2 linked regions of the Elephas maximus indicus genome follow. The protein of the gene in region 2 interacts with the protein of the main gene of each other region in a pairwise test. Links are inferred from orthologs where the notes say so. Each region holds a gene or a part of one and is shown on either strand. Other genes may lie near its edges.

Region 1 (7,779 bases), on a different chromosome or scaffold from region 2:
GGCATGAGCTTGATGAAGATGGACCTTAAGAGTAGACCAAGCCCTGAATATCAACTGCTGCTCCACCCAGCTCAGCCTCCCCTACCCACAGTCTTGAGGACCCCCGTGAAGCAGAAAGAGATGGGTCACCTGAGGAGCACACCAGGTGTCTGCATCCCTTCTTGGCCACCTGGGAAGAGAAGGGATGGGGTTGGGGCTAACCTGAGCAGGTGTCAGAGTGGCTGTGTGGAATGGACTTAGACCCTCTTCATTCCACCTACCCCCAACATTCCTCACCCCATACTGCCCAAAGCCCTCCCTTCCCATCTGCACAAGCTCCGTTCTCCTCTCCTGCCCTCACCACCATCTAGTCCACACCCTTCACCTCTCCCCTCCCACCTGTACAACCTTACCCCTTCCCTCCTGCCCCCACACCCTCACCTCCTGGCAGAAATGCCCGATGCCCCGGATCTTGAAGGAGCCGGCCGGCTGCACGTTCTCACACTTGAGGAGGATGGTTGTGCCCGCCACCTGGGACAGTGCCCAGCTCTCCAGCAGAGGTGTGACTGTGTGGAACTGCTCACCCATCAAGGAGCTCTCCATATGACAGCAGACACTGAGAACACCTGCAGGAAGACACAGACATCAAAGCCCAGGCGGCTCCACCCAAGAGTCCCCTTACCCAGAACAGGGAAGGGGGAGGTAGAGAATCCCCCAAATTAGGCTCCCTTAGCTCTGTCTGCTTCCAAGCTGTGAGACTCCAGCAATTATCCACACCTCTCTGAGCCTCAGTTTCCCCATCAGGACAGGGACCCTTTCATTCTGTTACTGCAGCTGCCCATGTGCTGGGGATGTAGAATGTGGCTGATGCATGGTGATGCATGAATGAATGAGGGAGTGGGGGATTCCTTCATTCATTCAAAAACATTTATGGAGCACCTACTACTGCTACATGGTTCCCAATCTGCAGTCCCAGTAATGGACAAGTTTGCCTGAGCTCACATTCTAGTTGGGGAAACAGACCATAAAATTTCTAATAAGAATGATGGGCATGGGGGTGTTATCTTATGGAGAATGGTCAGGAAAGGTCTCTTTCAGTAATAAAACTTTTAAAAACATTTATTGTGGACAAAGAAGCACAAAAAACCCTACTTTTCTCACCAGAGCAGAAAAGCCTTGGACCAGCCCACCAGTTCCACTGATGACCACCAGGGGGAGTGCTGCAGCCTCCCCAAGCACATACCCATAGGCCAAAGCCCTCAGTTAAGGCTGGGGGTCCCTGCATCAGAGCTGTTCAGACCTCTCGCCCCTAGATCTGACCCCATTCCCTTGTCAGGGTGGCCTCAGGACTCCCCAGGTAGGGCAAAGCCACCTCCTCCCACTTTCATCAATCGCACCCCCTGGTCTGGGCACTGGGGCGGGGGGCATGGGTCTTCACTAGTCCCCAAAGCCAGCATACCCCGGCCCAGGCCTCCCCTCGGCCCTGGAGCCCAAGTACATGGGCTTTGGGGACAAGCAGAGACCAAAGTTAGTAACCAGCTCTGACTGTATGACCCAGACAAACACCTTAACCTCTCTGTGTCTCAGTTTCCCTTTCTGTGAAGTGGGGGCAATAACAGTCCCTAGTGGAAACCCTGGGGGGGTAGTAGTTAGGTACTACAGCTGTTAACCAAAAGGTCAGCAGTTCAAATCCACCAGGTGCTCCTTGGAAACCCTGTGGGGCAGTTCTACTCTGTCCTATAGGGTCGCTCTGAGTCAGAATTGACTCGATGGCACTGGGTTTCGTTTTAGTTTGTAGTCCTCAGCCTGAGTAATTTGGAGATGTTCTAACAACCGGGCTGAGTACTTTAGAGACGTTGTCTCAGTGGGGCCTCACTCTAGCATCTATACAGGACACCTATGCAGTTCAGGCCCTGTCCTCTGTACCTGGGTACCATGGTAAACAAGACCAAGTTTGCTCTTGGAGCTGACTTACAGTCTGATGGGGGAGATCAGCATTTAACAAATAATCATGTAGATAAACGAAATAATTAGGCATGGTGAAAACTGTACCTAGGGAAACAAGTACATAGGGATCTGTGAAGGAGAAGAACCAGGGGACCTACTTAGGGGAGAGAAGTAAGGTGGCCTGAGAATGAACTACCCATACAACAAACTGGATGAAGTGCTTGTGCGTTACAGGGTCACTGGGAGAGTTAAATGAGGCCATAAAAGCACTGTGCCTCACGTACAGAATGTGCTTAGTAAATGGTGGCCTTTATCATCATTTCAAAGTCACAATGATTACAGCAATAGCTAATAGCAGTGTGTGATTTACTATGAGCCGGACACTGTGCCAAGCACCTTCTGTATTATTTCATTTAATCCCTACAACAACCCTATGAGATAGGTTACATTACTACGTCCATTATATAGTCAGTGAAACTGAGACCCAGAGGTTAAGTAACTTGTCCAAGGCCACAGAGCTAGAAACGGCACAGCCAGGATTCAAGTGCAGGCATTCTGGCTTTGGTGTCTGTGCTTCTAATCACTATGCATATCTCCCTTTATTATTATTATATTTAATAATTAATCGCCAGTTGTCCTTAGGAGCCAAACTCTCCTAGCTCGACCTCCAGGTTTCCCCAGCCCTCTTAGTAATACTGACCACCCACAAAAGGACAGCAGGCATCAGTTAAATGGGTAACCACAAGTTGCCAACAGCCTTGTCAAGCCCAGACTCCATCAGGGTCCCAGGCCAAAGTCAGGGAATGGGTCCCTCCCAGCCTGAGGTCTGGGGCCCAGCAGCTCTCACTGTGTGAGACAGGCCCTGGGGCTGAGCTGGAAGCACTGGGCCCACGCTGCCGCGGAGTAAAGGGCTGGGAAACATGGGCTCTGTGTGACCTCTCAGTGCCTCATTTGCAAATTGGGGGAAAGGCCTCTACCCTTTTCAGAGTCCCTGGGTGGCAGAAACAGTTAAGTGCTCAACCTGAAGCCAAAAGGCTGGCAGTCCCGTAAGGCTGGCAGTTCAAACCCACCCAGAGTTGCCTCAGAAGACAGGCCTGGCAATCTGCTTCTGAAAGTTCCCAGCTCTGAAAACCCTGTGGAGCAGTTTCATTCTTACACCCTGTACACGTGAGGACTCCATGAGCCGTATTTGACTTGAGGGAAACTAACAACAACACCCCTTTCCACCAGTCTTGCTCCCCGCCCCCCACTCCCTTTCAGTCCCTGGGGCCTTTTCCCGTAGGTCACCATTACTGGCACCAGGGCTGGGAAACCCCGGGCTGGCCCTTGGCTGGCAGATTGCCCGGCCCCCACCCCTCTGGCCAGCAGAGGGTCCCCAGTGCCTACCTTCTTCTTCAGGGCAGGCAGGGTGCAGGGTACCCTGAGCTGTCCCAAGGCTCCTGGTGGGGAGTAGGCCGCTGTCACTCCCTCTCAGTTCCCCCCACTCAGCCTGGAGTCACAGACACCACTGCACACCCTCCCCCCACACACGTGGAGAGGCCCCTCACTTCCCAGCCCGGCAGAGTCCAGCTGTGCTCAGCCCTGGCCTGCTGCCCGCCTGCTCCCAGGACACCAGCTCTGCCCAGCTTCCCGCTGCCTGAAGTGGCCTTGGCCCCGCCTCCCATGTTAAAGGGCCAGTCCCAGCTCCCAAGGCTCAGGACCGAAGAGGAAAGGGGACGAGAGCAACCCACACTGCCTCCCTATCCCACAATGCCCTGATGAAACTGAGGCTCAGAGAAGGAGCCCGCTTGGCCAAGCCACTCAGCCACAAGGGACAGAAACCTCCTTTGCCCCCCACCCCGGACTACAGTTTTCGTGACACATCTCTAAATCTTCCTCCAGCTCCGATGCTCTTCCTGGACGCCAAGCCGTTCTCCCTGGACCGTTGTTGGTGTCAGCTTAGGTGCGAGACAGGTTAGGAAAAACAAGGACAAGGATCAGCGAGCCATTTTTATCTGGCCCCTCTTTATCTCTGTTATTTTACATTCAACATAGGAAGCCAAACAAACACCTGTTGTCCAAATAAACGACTCTTGCCATTCATTCATTCATTTAACAAATTTTTTCTGGACACCTACTATGTGCCATGTCCTGGGACTCTTAGACTCAAAGAAGACAGCTTGTCCCCTTCCCTCCCGAAGCCTAATGGGGCCCTTGAAGAGCAATTAGTGTCAGTGCCATCAGAAGGGGGCAGCAGAGAGGGAGTGACGGTGGGAGCCCAGAAAAGGAAACTCACCTGGCCCTGGAGGGCTGGGAAGGTTTCCTGGAGGAGGGTAAGTCTGAGTTGAGTCAGGTATCAGGGAGCACGGAGTGCAAAGGTCTAGAATTGAAAGATTGATGTATTTCTGGACAAAGAAGGCAGGGGTAGGGCTGGAGAGGAGGGCAGGAGCCAGAGTCCACAGCGTGCCTGGGCCAGTCAAGAGTCTGGGCCTTATCCGGGGCACTAGGAAACCACAGAAGGCTTTAAGCAGGGAGTGACATGATCAGATTCACATCTTGCCTGTATCACCATCTCACTGGGTGAACCTGAGCCAGTCCTGCCCATCTCTAGCCCTCAGTTTCCCCATCTGTAAAGTGAGAGGACCAGCAAGGACTTGGCAGCCCAGGTGTTCTGTGTCCTTCTTTGATTGCATGTAACTGCCCCAGGTTTGATGATTAACTCCTGGCCCCTTGGGGTCAAGTCGAACTGCTTGGCCAGAATCCTTGAAAGGACCTGGCAACTTCACCATCATTCTCAGTATTAAACATGCACCAGTCCTAGTCTGATGTCCTGTCCTGGACTAGGTGCTGGGGACACGGGGGCAAGTGGAGGGGAAAGACCGAGTTCATGTCCTGAGACGGCCCCCAGCCTTGAGGGGAGAGGAAGACACCTAGTCCAGTGACAACTCCAAAACCCTCTTGGAGGACAGAGGGCGGCTGGGGGAGGGGGTATCAGGGAAGACTTCCTGAAGCAGGCAGGACCTTAGCACACAACTGAGGCTTGGACAAGGAACATGGCAGCTGCATTTATTGCATGCCTACTGTATGCCAGGCCCTTTCATGCTGACCAGCATATTCCAAAAGCTTGTTTTTTTTTTGTTTGTTTGTTTTAAATAATTGGATATTTCTTTCTGTGTTGGGAGTTTCATATACATATATCTGTTGTGCATTGAATTGTGTCCCCCAAAATATGTGTCAACTTGGTTCGGCCATGATTCCCAATATTGTGTGGTTGTCCTCCACTTTGTGATTGTAATTTCACGTTAGAGGATTAGGGTGGGATTTTAACACCCTCACTATTTTTTTTTTACTAAGGGCACATCCCTGATCCAATGTAAAGGGAGTTTCCCTAAGGTGTGACCTGCACCACCTTTTATCTTACAAGAGATAAAAGGAAAGGAAAGTGAGCGGAGAGGAGGGGACCTCATACCACCAAGAAAGTGCTGAGAGCAGAGCATGTCCTTTGGACCCAGGGTTCCTGGGCAGAGAAGCTCCTAGTCCCGGGGAAGATTAATGACAAGGCCGACAGAGAGAGAAAGCCTTCCCCTGAAGCTGACACCCTGAATTTAGACTTTTAGCCTACTTTACTGTGAGGAGATAAATTTCTCTTTGTTAAAGCCATCCACTTGTGGTTTTCTGTAACAGCAGCACTAGATAACTAAGACAGTATCTATTTATATGTATCTATAAAAAAAAAAAAGTATCTATGTATAAGTATCTATGTATATGTATCTATATACATATACATAGTCCTGGATGGTGTAAATGGTTAACACGCTTGGATGCTAACTGAAAGGATGAAGGTTTAAGTCCGCCCAGAGACACCTCAGAAGAAAGGCCTGGAGATCTACTTCCAAAAAATCAGCCATTGAAAACCCTGTGGGTCAGAGTTCTACTCTGTCGCACATGGAGTCACCATGAGTCAACTTGACGGAAACTGCGAGGTCTATGTATATGTTGTTGTGTGCCATCGATTCCGACTCATAGCGACCTTATATGGCAGAGTGGAACTGCCCGTCCCATAGGGTCCTCTAGGCTGTAAACTTTACAGCAGCTCACCAGGTCTTTTCTCTTGTGGTGCCACTGGTGGGTTGGAGCCGCAAGCCTTTCAATTAGCAGCCGAGTGCTTAACTATTGCACCACCGGGGCTCACTTGCTTGTTTGCTCCCTCTCCCTCTCTCTCTCTATATATATAATAATTTCAAATCCATAATTTCATGGATATTACTGCTTAGGAAGAAGCTAAAGCAGGCATTAAAGTTTGAAAAGGGAGTCTGTTTAAAGGAAAATATTAAGTTAAGGCTAGTAGTTTCTAGCATGGCAAAGCAGTATTGCTTAACGGTTTGAACACAGACCCAAATACCAGCTCTGTCACCTACTGGCTGTGTGACCTTAGTTTTCTCAATGGTAAGATGGTGATCAAATGTTACTAATGTTTAATTGGTGTGAGAGTTAAATGAGGTAATATCTGTAGAACATTGAGAACAGTAACAACTACTGCTGCTGTTGGTATTATTACTACATAGAAGTTATTGTTGTTGCTGGGTGCCATTGAGTCAGTTCCAACTCATAGCGACCATGTGTACAACAGAACAAAACACTGCCTGGTCTTGCATCATCCTCACAATCGTTGCAATGTTTTAGCCCATTGTCGCAGCCACTGTGTCAATCTATCTCACTGAGGACCTTCCTCTTTTTTGCTGACCCTCCACCAAGCATGATGTCCTTCTCCAGGGACTGGGCCCTCCTGATGGCATGTCCAAAGTACGTGGGATGAAGTCTCACCATTCTCGCTTCTAAGGAACATTCTGGCGGTTCTTCTTCTAAGACAGTTTTGTTCATTCTTCTGGCAGTCCATTGTATATTCAATATTCTTCACCAACACCATGATTCAAATGCATTAAATCTTATTCATTGTCCAGTTTTTGCATGCATATGAAGTGACTGAAAATACCATGACTTGAGTAAGCTGCGCCTTAGTCATCAAAGTTACATCTTTGCTTTAATGGACTTTTGACTCATGCCACATCATCAGATGAAGGTCCCAAAAGCTTTGCTCCATCCACGTCATTAAGGTCAACTCTACATTGAGGAGGCAGCTCTTCCCAGTCATCTCTTGAGTGCCTTCCAACCTGGAAGTTGGCACTATAACAGACAATGTGCCGCAGGTATTCATAAGGTTTTCACTGGCCGATTTTTCAAAAAAAGTAGACTACTAGGTCCTTCTTTGTCGTCTGTCTTAGTCTAGAAGCTCCTCTGAAACCTGTCCACCATGGGTGACCTTGTTGGTATTTGAAATATTGGTGGCATAGCTTTCAGCACCATAGCAACACACAAGCCACCAGAGTATGACAAACTGACAGATGAGTGGTGGTATACAGAAGAAGTGACACAAAATATGGCAAAAAATTGTGAAGGTGACACGTGAATGTCCAAAGTTTGGGGACATGAACTCGTTACCTCACAGAATCCTTACACAACCTGGAAAGGTGGGTACTGCAATGAATCCTACATTGTGGAAACAGACTCAGAGAGGCCAAGTTGCTTCCCCAAGGTCACACACCAGAGGCAGAGACAGGACTCAAGTCCAGATGGACTTGGTTGCCAAAGTTCCTGGCCTGGGTGATGGAAAGGGTGGGGAGAGGACAGGGTGGCAGCTTCAAATGAGGCTAGAGAGGTGGGCAGGTCACTGACCTGTCCCTTCTTAGAGCTGTGTTCGTCAGACAGCCCCGTCCCTGACACCTCAGGCCATCAAGCACCCACCCTGGCCAGTCATTCCCCAGGGTTATTCATTAAGCTTCATTTCACCATCTTCACCCCAGCTGGCTTTCCCGT
Region 2 (7,489 bases):
AACAAAGGATATCATAGTTTGGACTGATCATATAAAAATCTCTGAGTTTAGTCCTGCCTTTTTTATCCAAGGTTATTAGGAAAGCGTCTGGGGAAATGTTTTCAGGAAGTTCAATGGGTTGAGGAAAGTGGAGCAAATACTGGAAACTTCAAAAAATGAGAATTTTCCAGAGCAGGGTGACAAGAGAACAAGGTTCTGTTGTGTGTTCAGAGCAGATAATTCTATTCCAAGTTGCTCCCTAACTGTCCTCACCACTTCTTGGCAGGAACTGCTGCACACAGTTATGTCCTGTCTCCTATAGTTCTTCACCGGGGGCTAGAGAAGCAAACTCAGTGATTTTAATGTGAGGAGGGAGTTTGTCTTCAACTCATCCATTTCCATATTCAATCGGTCACTAAGTTCTAAAGGTGCTTCCTCCCTACTGCCACCATACAAGCCCGGACTCCTCATCGGCTCAAACCTGGGTAACTGCAGCATTCACTGCCCTTATCTACCCAACCCAGGCCCTTGCCTTCTCAGTCCACAGGCTATACTGCTGCCACCACATCACTTCTCTGTTCAAAGCCTTCAACCACTCTCTAAATCCACCTCGTCCGATCCGTACTCCACTCCAGTTTTCAGCATTAGAATTAGCCCTGCCCTGCCTGTTGGCCTTCTTGTCTACCATGCATTCTCCACTCCTATTAGACTCTTCTCTCCAGAACACAGCTAACTTTTTATTTACCATTTTGTGCTTTCTCTTTAACTCTCTTCCTATCAAAATTTAACTCATCCTTCAAGAAGCTGTATTTGCCAGTGTCTCAGAGACTCTCATCTCTCACCTGGCCAAAGCCCTACAGCACTCAAGCACTGAGCAACAAGTCACTGTTTGGTCCTGTTCCAGTACAGCTCAGCACATATTTATAGTTGGGTTCTCAGTCACACTGTAAGCTCAAGAACCTGCAAGGGGCTGAGCATGCTGTCGGTGTTTAAAAACCAACTGATTTAATTCTGCCAGTCTGTGGTGGGGTTCAGGGATTTGAGCTGGATGACTAATAAAGGCCATTACCAAACTGGCTTAGAAGGCTAACGTCTTGGATGATAAGATCAGAATTCAAAATAACCTGAACAAGTTACAGAAATGATCAAAGAAAAAAAATACAAAATGGACTTCAACAGAGTTCAAAGAAGAAAAACAAGTTCTACAAAATCAATTACAAGCAGCAGCAACTAGGCACAAAACCAATAGGGAAGGCTATAAGAATCCTGGGAGTTAACAGGTGAACAAAAATTATCAAGTAATTATCAATTGGATTATACTGAAAGAAAATGCAGCAAACTTGTGAAGGAAAAGCTCCCGTTCTGCCTTATCCTCACTGGAGTAATACACAGAACTTAGTTCTCCACAATTAACATTTAGGTTAAAGGAAGTTAATGACAACTTAGGTCTGAGAATGGAGCTTCCGGGGAAAAGCTTAAAAAATAAACACAGCTTCATTTGGAGACGGAAATGACTAAAAGGAGGATGTGCCTTTAAGTACAGAAAAGAATTTTTAACTAGAAAATAATGACCTACTATTATCATTACCAAGAGGAAATAAAATAGTTCCAAGTTCTGATAAAAACTAGGAAGTTACCCTCTCATGCACTTATCAAAAGTACAAATACAAAAAACACTTACTGTAGGCTGAGAGCTTAACTACATGCCTTCAGGAGGTCCCCAACAATTGCATATCTATTTAGTCCTGAAATCCCTTTCCCGCTCACTACTCCCAACCCTATTTCTCCCAGCTCAGAATGGCACCTATCTACCCGCATGAATCTACTCCTCACCGCTCCTTTGAAAAGGTCTGAGCTTCTCCTTTGGGTTCATCTGCTCCTGTGGTCCCAGGTCTGGGCTTCTTGCCCTCTCTTTCTTGGGTACACCCCTGGGCTGGGGTTCCACTGACTCCTGCCGAACACTTAATAACTCCTGTGATGATTTCAGGGGTGTCATCTTCTCCGAGCGCACTTCCTGCCCCTTCACAGAGACTGTGACCTAGAAACAACCCCCATTAATTGTCACTGCAAGGTCATAATGGGGGGCATTCCCAGAGGAGATTAATACCCCAAAAGATCATCCTTCTGGGACATGGCTAGAGTTGTAGGGATTGGGGGTTATAACAAACAAGTAATTCCATTACTGTTAGCTTAGAGCAGCTGGAACTCCAGAATGAAAAGACCAATATAGTTAACCCAACTACAAGTTAAAAAAAAATTCCTGATTAATGAGCTACAAATAATTCATTATGGCAGGGTAGGCAAAGATACACCCAGGTAGCATCTCCAGACAAACTCTATATGAAAAAGTTACCTGTTCCAGGGTCAGAAGTATAAGCATCGTTGAAGGAGACTGTGCCCCTCTTTAAACCTATCTATACCTTAACCTGGCTGTTACCCTTACCCTTTTGCGATCACACATTTCTGAACTCCCCCTCCTTTCTCACCGAACGTCCAGGTCTTCCAAGCTGTCTTTCTAAATCTTCCACCAGAGCCACTGCCTCCTCTCCACTGTCTGGACAATGTTCCTGTACCCAGTTCTGGATCTCCCCAGGTAAGACCGCCAGGAACTGCTCTAGCACCAACAACTCTACAATCTGCTCCTTGGTGCGTGCTTCCGGCCTTAGCCACCGACAGCAAAGTTCCCAGAGTTGGCTGAAAGCCTGCCGGGGCCCTGCCACCTCCTGGTAATGGAATCTCCTGAAGCGTTGTCGGAAGGTCTCAGAGTTAGTGCCATCCCCTCTCAGAGTGGGTCTGGCCATCATTCACAGCAGAAAGCAGCTTCCCTCTACTTAAGGGTCTGGGCTCCAGGGCTTACACCTATCTTCCCATTCCTTGGAGAATCACCTGCAGTCTCTCTGTAAGAGGAGTTTCTTCCTAGGGTAGAGAGAGATGGCACTATCAGAAGGAATATATTCATACGTCTAAAATCCTGCCAGGGCTGGCCTGACTTCCCATATGCTCCAGCTGGCCATCTGAGGTAGCACCATCTTCAGGGCAGCAAGCCAAGGCTGTGAGCTGAAGGAGAGAGACCTTTCAAAAGCTGCGTTTCTGGGCGACCTCCAGGGCAGCCCGGGGAAGCACCAGAGAACGGAGTACTGTGTCTGCTCCTCTCCCACCTCCCCCAAATCCGACCCCATTTAGCTCCCTTGACCAGTACTACATAGTGAGTTCGAACCATATGGGAGACCTGGAGTTCGAGAGGATCTACAGACAAGTCACCGTCCTGCCGAGAGCAGCGGGTCGCAGCTGTGTCCCCCGTACCTCGGCAGTCCTTCCCGGGGCCCTCTCCGTCCGCCCCGCCCCCTCCGGCTCCACGACTACCAACTCCCACCCCACACAAAAATCAATTACTAAATGTCGAGTCTTTGTTTCTCCCCCTCCGCAGAGGAACCGTTCGGCGAGGACTCGAGAGCCACTGAAGGGAAACCGAGCGCATCGGGAGAAGGCAGCTCCGACTCCTGAAGCGAGGGCCGGGTGGGCTTGGGGAGAGTCACACTGAGTTGGTAGAGAGGGAGTCCAGGGAACGGTCGGGATGGGTCTCCTGAGGACGAGCCAGGGTGCCGGCCAGAGGCTCCGAGGGCTGCGGGGCTTGCCGGCGCGGAACTCGGCTCCAGGAGCGGCGGGTACGGGGTTCCGGCCTCTTTGTCTTCGCTCCCTCCGGCCGGGTCACTCTCGGAGCCCCGTGCGCTGCCTAACACGGGCCTCCGGCCGGGCTACGGCGCCCTGAGAACACTCTCCGACACAGCCCTGGGAGCGTCTCCCTCAGCCCCCTCGCACTCCTGCCCCCGGGCCAGCTTCACCCACTCAGCTCCGGCTCCAGCCCCAGATCGCCAGCCTCCCAGGCCAGCTCCCAAACCGGAAGTGCGAGCGGGCACCTCAGGGCAGAAGGGGCGCATGCGCACCGGCCGCTACTACGCCTCCATCTCCCTCCCAGCCCGGCGGGAGCGAGCGGGTGGGACACGGCGGGTCCGCGCACTTCCGGGACTCGGCGCCGACCCCTTCCGCTCTTCCCGTCCGCTGTTCCCGCAGCAGTGGTTTCGGCGGGGTAGATTCCGGACGAACTGCCCGTCCCAGCGGCCTGTGCACGCGTCGAGGCGGGAGAACTCGCCTCCGTGGTCCCCTGGAGGGGCGCTGGAGGACAGGGTGACGTGGCTAGGGAGTGGAGGTCCGCCGTGGGAATGATCCACGAGCTGCTCTTGGCTCTGAGCGGGTACCCGGGGTCCATCTTCACCTGGAACAAGCAGACCGGCCTCCAGGTACTGCGCGCGGGAACGGCGGAGCGACCGCGGGACTAGAGCCGGAGCCAGGGGGTGGGGTCTGAGGGAGCCGAGGGGGCAGGGCGTGCAGGGCCCGCGGTGTTGTAGGGGGTGTGTCCTAGGACAGACAACCGGAGCTTGGTGCCCGAGGGGCCTGAGGGAGGAACACCCTGAGAGAGCTGGGCCGAGGCAGGGAAACTGACAGCAGACCCGGAACGTCCCCGCCTTGGGGGGGACGGAGCTGCTCCATAGGGTTTTCAAGGCTGTGACCTTTTTGAAGCAGGTTGCCAGGCCTGTCTTCGGATGCTTCTGAGTTGTTCGAGCCAAGGAGCTGGGCGGCTCCGATGTAGAAGCTAAAGAGGCTCCGTCTCTCATTTTCACATTTGCACTGTGTTTCAAACTGAATTTTGAAGACTCACAGCGCTTGACTCAATAAGTGCCGAGCAAATTTTGTTGAATGAAGAAATGAACGAGAGGGTGGAGAACTTAGAAGCGGGCCTTCAAGGTACCGGGGCTGTAGGAGGAGGAAGTGCTGAGGAGTAGACGTTGTTTGGAGGCATTATCTCGTTTGGAGCCCTGGTGGTTAACAGCTTGGCCGCGAAGCAAAAGGTTGGTAGTACCAGTCCACCATCCACTCCTTGCAAACCCTGTGGGGCAGTTCTGCTCTGTCCTATAGGGTCACTATGAGTCAACAGCAATGGTTTATTTGTTTAATCTCTTTTAACCTTTGCAGTCACTTTATCTCCATTTAACAGATTAATTTAGACTCAGAATGCTAAGTAACTCCTGGGGTTACATAGATAATAGTTGTTTTTGTTCGTTGCTGAGTTGATTCCTACTCATGGTGATTCCATGTGTGCAGAGTATAGCTGCTCTATAGGATTTTCAAGGCTGTGACCTTTCAGAATCAGGTAGCCAGGCCTGTCTTCCAAGGGTGCCTCTGGGTGGGCTTGAACCGCCGTCTTGGCTAATAGTTGAGCGATAAACTATTTGTGCCACACAGGGGTTCCTAGTTAATAATTTTTCTCCTGTGCTGTCAAGTCAGTTCCAACTCATAGTGACCCTGTGTGACAGAGTAGAACTGCCCCATAGGGTTTGCTAGGCTGTAATCTTTACAGGAGCAGATCACCAGGTGGGCTGGAACTGCTGCTGACCTTTGGGTTTGCAGCAAGCTCCTAATCATTGTGCCACCAGGGCTCTTTAGCTAATAATTAAAACCACACCCACTGCCATCGAGTCAATTCTGACTCCGTAAAGATGCCCCACGGGGTTTTCAACACTGTATGGTAATCTTTTCTACCATGCTTTTGTCAGTTTGTCATACTGTGCTAGCTTGCATGTTGCTGTGATGCTGGAAGCTATGCCACCGGTATTTCAGATAGCAGCGGGGTTACCCATGGTGGACAGGTTTCAGCGGAGCTTCCAGACTAAGAATAGACTACGAAGAAGGACCTGGTGGTCTACTTCTGAAAAAATTGTCCAGTGAAAACCTTATGAATAACAGAACATTGTCTGATAATAGTGCTGGAAGATGAGCCCCTCAAGTTGGAAGGTACTCAAAATACTACTGGGGAAGACTGCATCCTTAAAGTAGAGTTGACCTCAATGACGTGGGTTGAGTCAAGCTTTCAGGACCTTCGTTTGCTGATGTGACATGACTCAAAATGAAAAGAAAAAGCCGCAAACATCCATTAATAATAGGAACATGGAATGTATGAAGTATGAATCTAGGAAAATTGAAAGTTTAAAAAATGAGATGGAATGCATGAAGATCAATATCCTAGGCATTAGTAAGCTGAAATGGACAGGGTGTTAGTCGTCTTGAATCAGACAGTTATATGGTCTACTATGCCACGAATGACAAATTGAAGAGGAATGGCGTTGCATTCATCATCAGAAAGAACGTTTCAAGATCTATCCTGAAGTACAGCGCTGTCAGTGATAGGAAAATTCCATACACCTACAAGGAAGACCAGTTAATACGACTGTTATTCAAATTTACACACCAACCACTAATGCTAAAGATGGAGAAATTGAAGATTTTTACCAACTTCTGCAGACTGAAATTGATCAAACATGCAATCAAGATGCATTCATAATTACTGGTGATTGGAATGTGGAAGTTGGAAACAAAGAAGGATTGGTAGTTGGAAAATATGGCCTTGGTGAGACGCCAGAGATCGCATGATAGAATTTTGCAAGACCAACAACTTCTTCGTTGCAAATACCTTTTTTCAACAACATAAACGGCAGCTATGCACTGTGAACCCCACCAGATGGAAAACACAGGAATCAAATTGACCACATCTGTGGAAAAAGACAATGGAAAAGCTCAATACCATCAGAACAAGGCCGGGCCAACTGCGTTCAGAACAAGGCCAGCCAACTGCAGAACAGACCACTAATTGCTCGTACATAAGTTCAAGTTGAAGCTGAGGAAAATTAAAACAAGACCATGAGAACCAACGTATGACCTCAAGTATATCCCACCCGAATTTAGAAACCATCTCAAGAATCGATTTGATGCATTGAACACTGATGGCTGAACACCAGACAAGTTATGGGATGAAGAAAGTAAAAGGTCATGAAAAAGATGGGAAAGAAAACACCCAAATGGATGTCAAAAGAGACACTGAAATTTGCTTTTAAATGTAGAGCAGCTGAAGCAAATTGGAAGAAATGATGAAGTAAAAGAGCTGAAAAGATTTCAAAGGGCAGCTCAAGAAGACAAAGTAAAATATTATAATGAAATGGGTAAAGACCTGGAGTTAGAAAACCAAAAGGGAAGAACACGCTTGGCATTTCTTAAGCAGCAAAAACTGATAAAAAAAAATTCAAGCCTTGAGTTGAAATTTTGAAGGATTCAACGGGGGAAACATTGAATGATGCAGAAAACATCAAAAGAAGATGGAAAGAATAGACAGTCCCTGTACCAAAAAGAATTGGTTAACATTCACCCATTTCCGGAGGTAGCATATGATCAAGAACCAATGGTATTGAGGGAAGAAGTCCAAGCTGCACTGACGGAATTGGCGAATAGCAAGGGTCCAGGAATTGATGGCATAGCAATTGAGATGTTTCAGGAAACAAATGCAGCGCCAGAGGCACTTACTTGTTTAGGCGAACAAATTTGGAAGACATCTACCTGAAAGGTGATCCAACAGGATGCCCAAATTATTCAACAATATCATTAATATCACACCAAATTTTGC

Evidence for each region. The genes of interacting proteins can lie anywhere in the genome.
Region 1: the proteins of TUBGCP4 (region 2) and SDSL interact in a two-hybrid assay, tested with the Homo sapiens proteins (2 studies listed by BioGRID and IntAct). The two-hybrid records come from large-scale screens. The link is inferred for Elephas maximus indicus from reciprocal best matches to the Homo sapiens genes TUBGCP4 and SDSL.

The regions. Positions count from the first base shown.
Region 1 is NC_064840.1:11,502,408-11,510,186, reverse strand, and holds the start of SDSL (serine dehydratase-like), read right to left. Parts: upstream 3,548-7,779; 5' UTR 3,313-3,547; intron 606-3,312; 5' UTR 583-605; coding exon 421-582; intron 170-420; coding exon 130-169; intron 1-129. UniProt on the Homo sapiens protein: Catalyzes the pyridoxal-phosphate-dependent dehydrative deamination of L-threonine and L-serine to ammonia and alpha-ketobutyrate and pyruvate, respectively. Also exhibits racemase activity towards L-glutamate and D-glutamate.
Region 2 is NC_064828.1:12,617,987-12,625,475, reverse strand, and holds the start of TUBGCP4 (gamma-tubulin complex component 4), read left to right. Parts: upstream 1-4,192; 5' UTR 4,193-4,199; coding exon 4,200-4,277; intron 4,278-7,489. Other genes in the region: ZSCAN29 (zinc finger and SCAN domain-containing protein 29), read right to left, coding at 1,813-2,017, 2,466-2,783. UniProt on the Homo sapiens protein: Component of the gamma-tubulin ring complex (gTuRC) which mediates microtubule nucleation.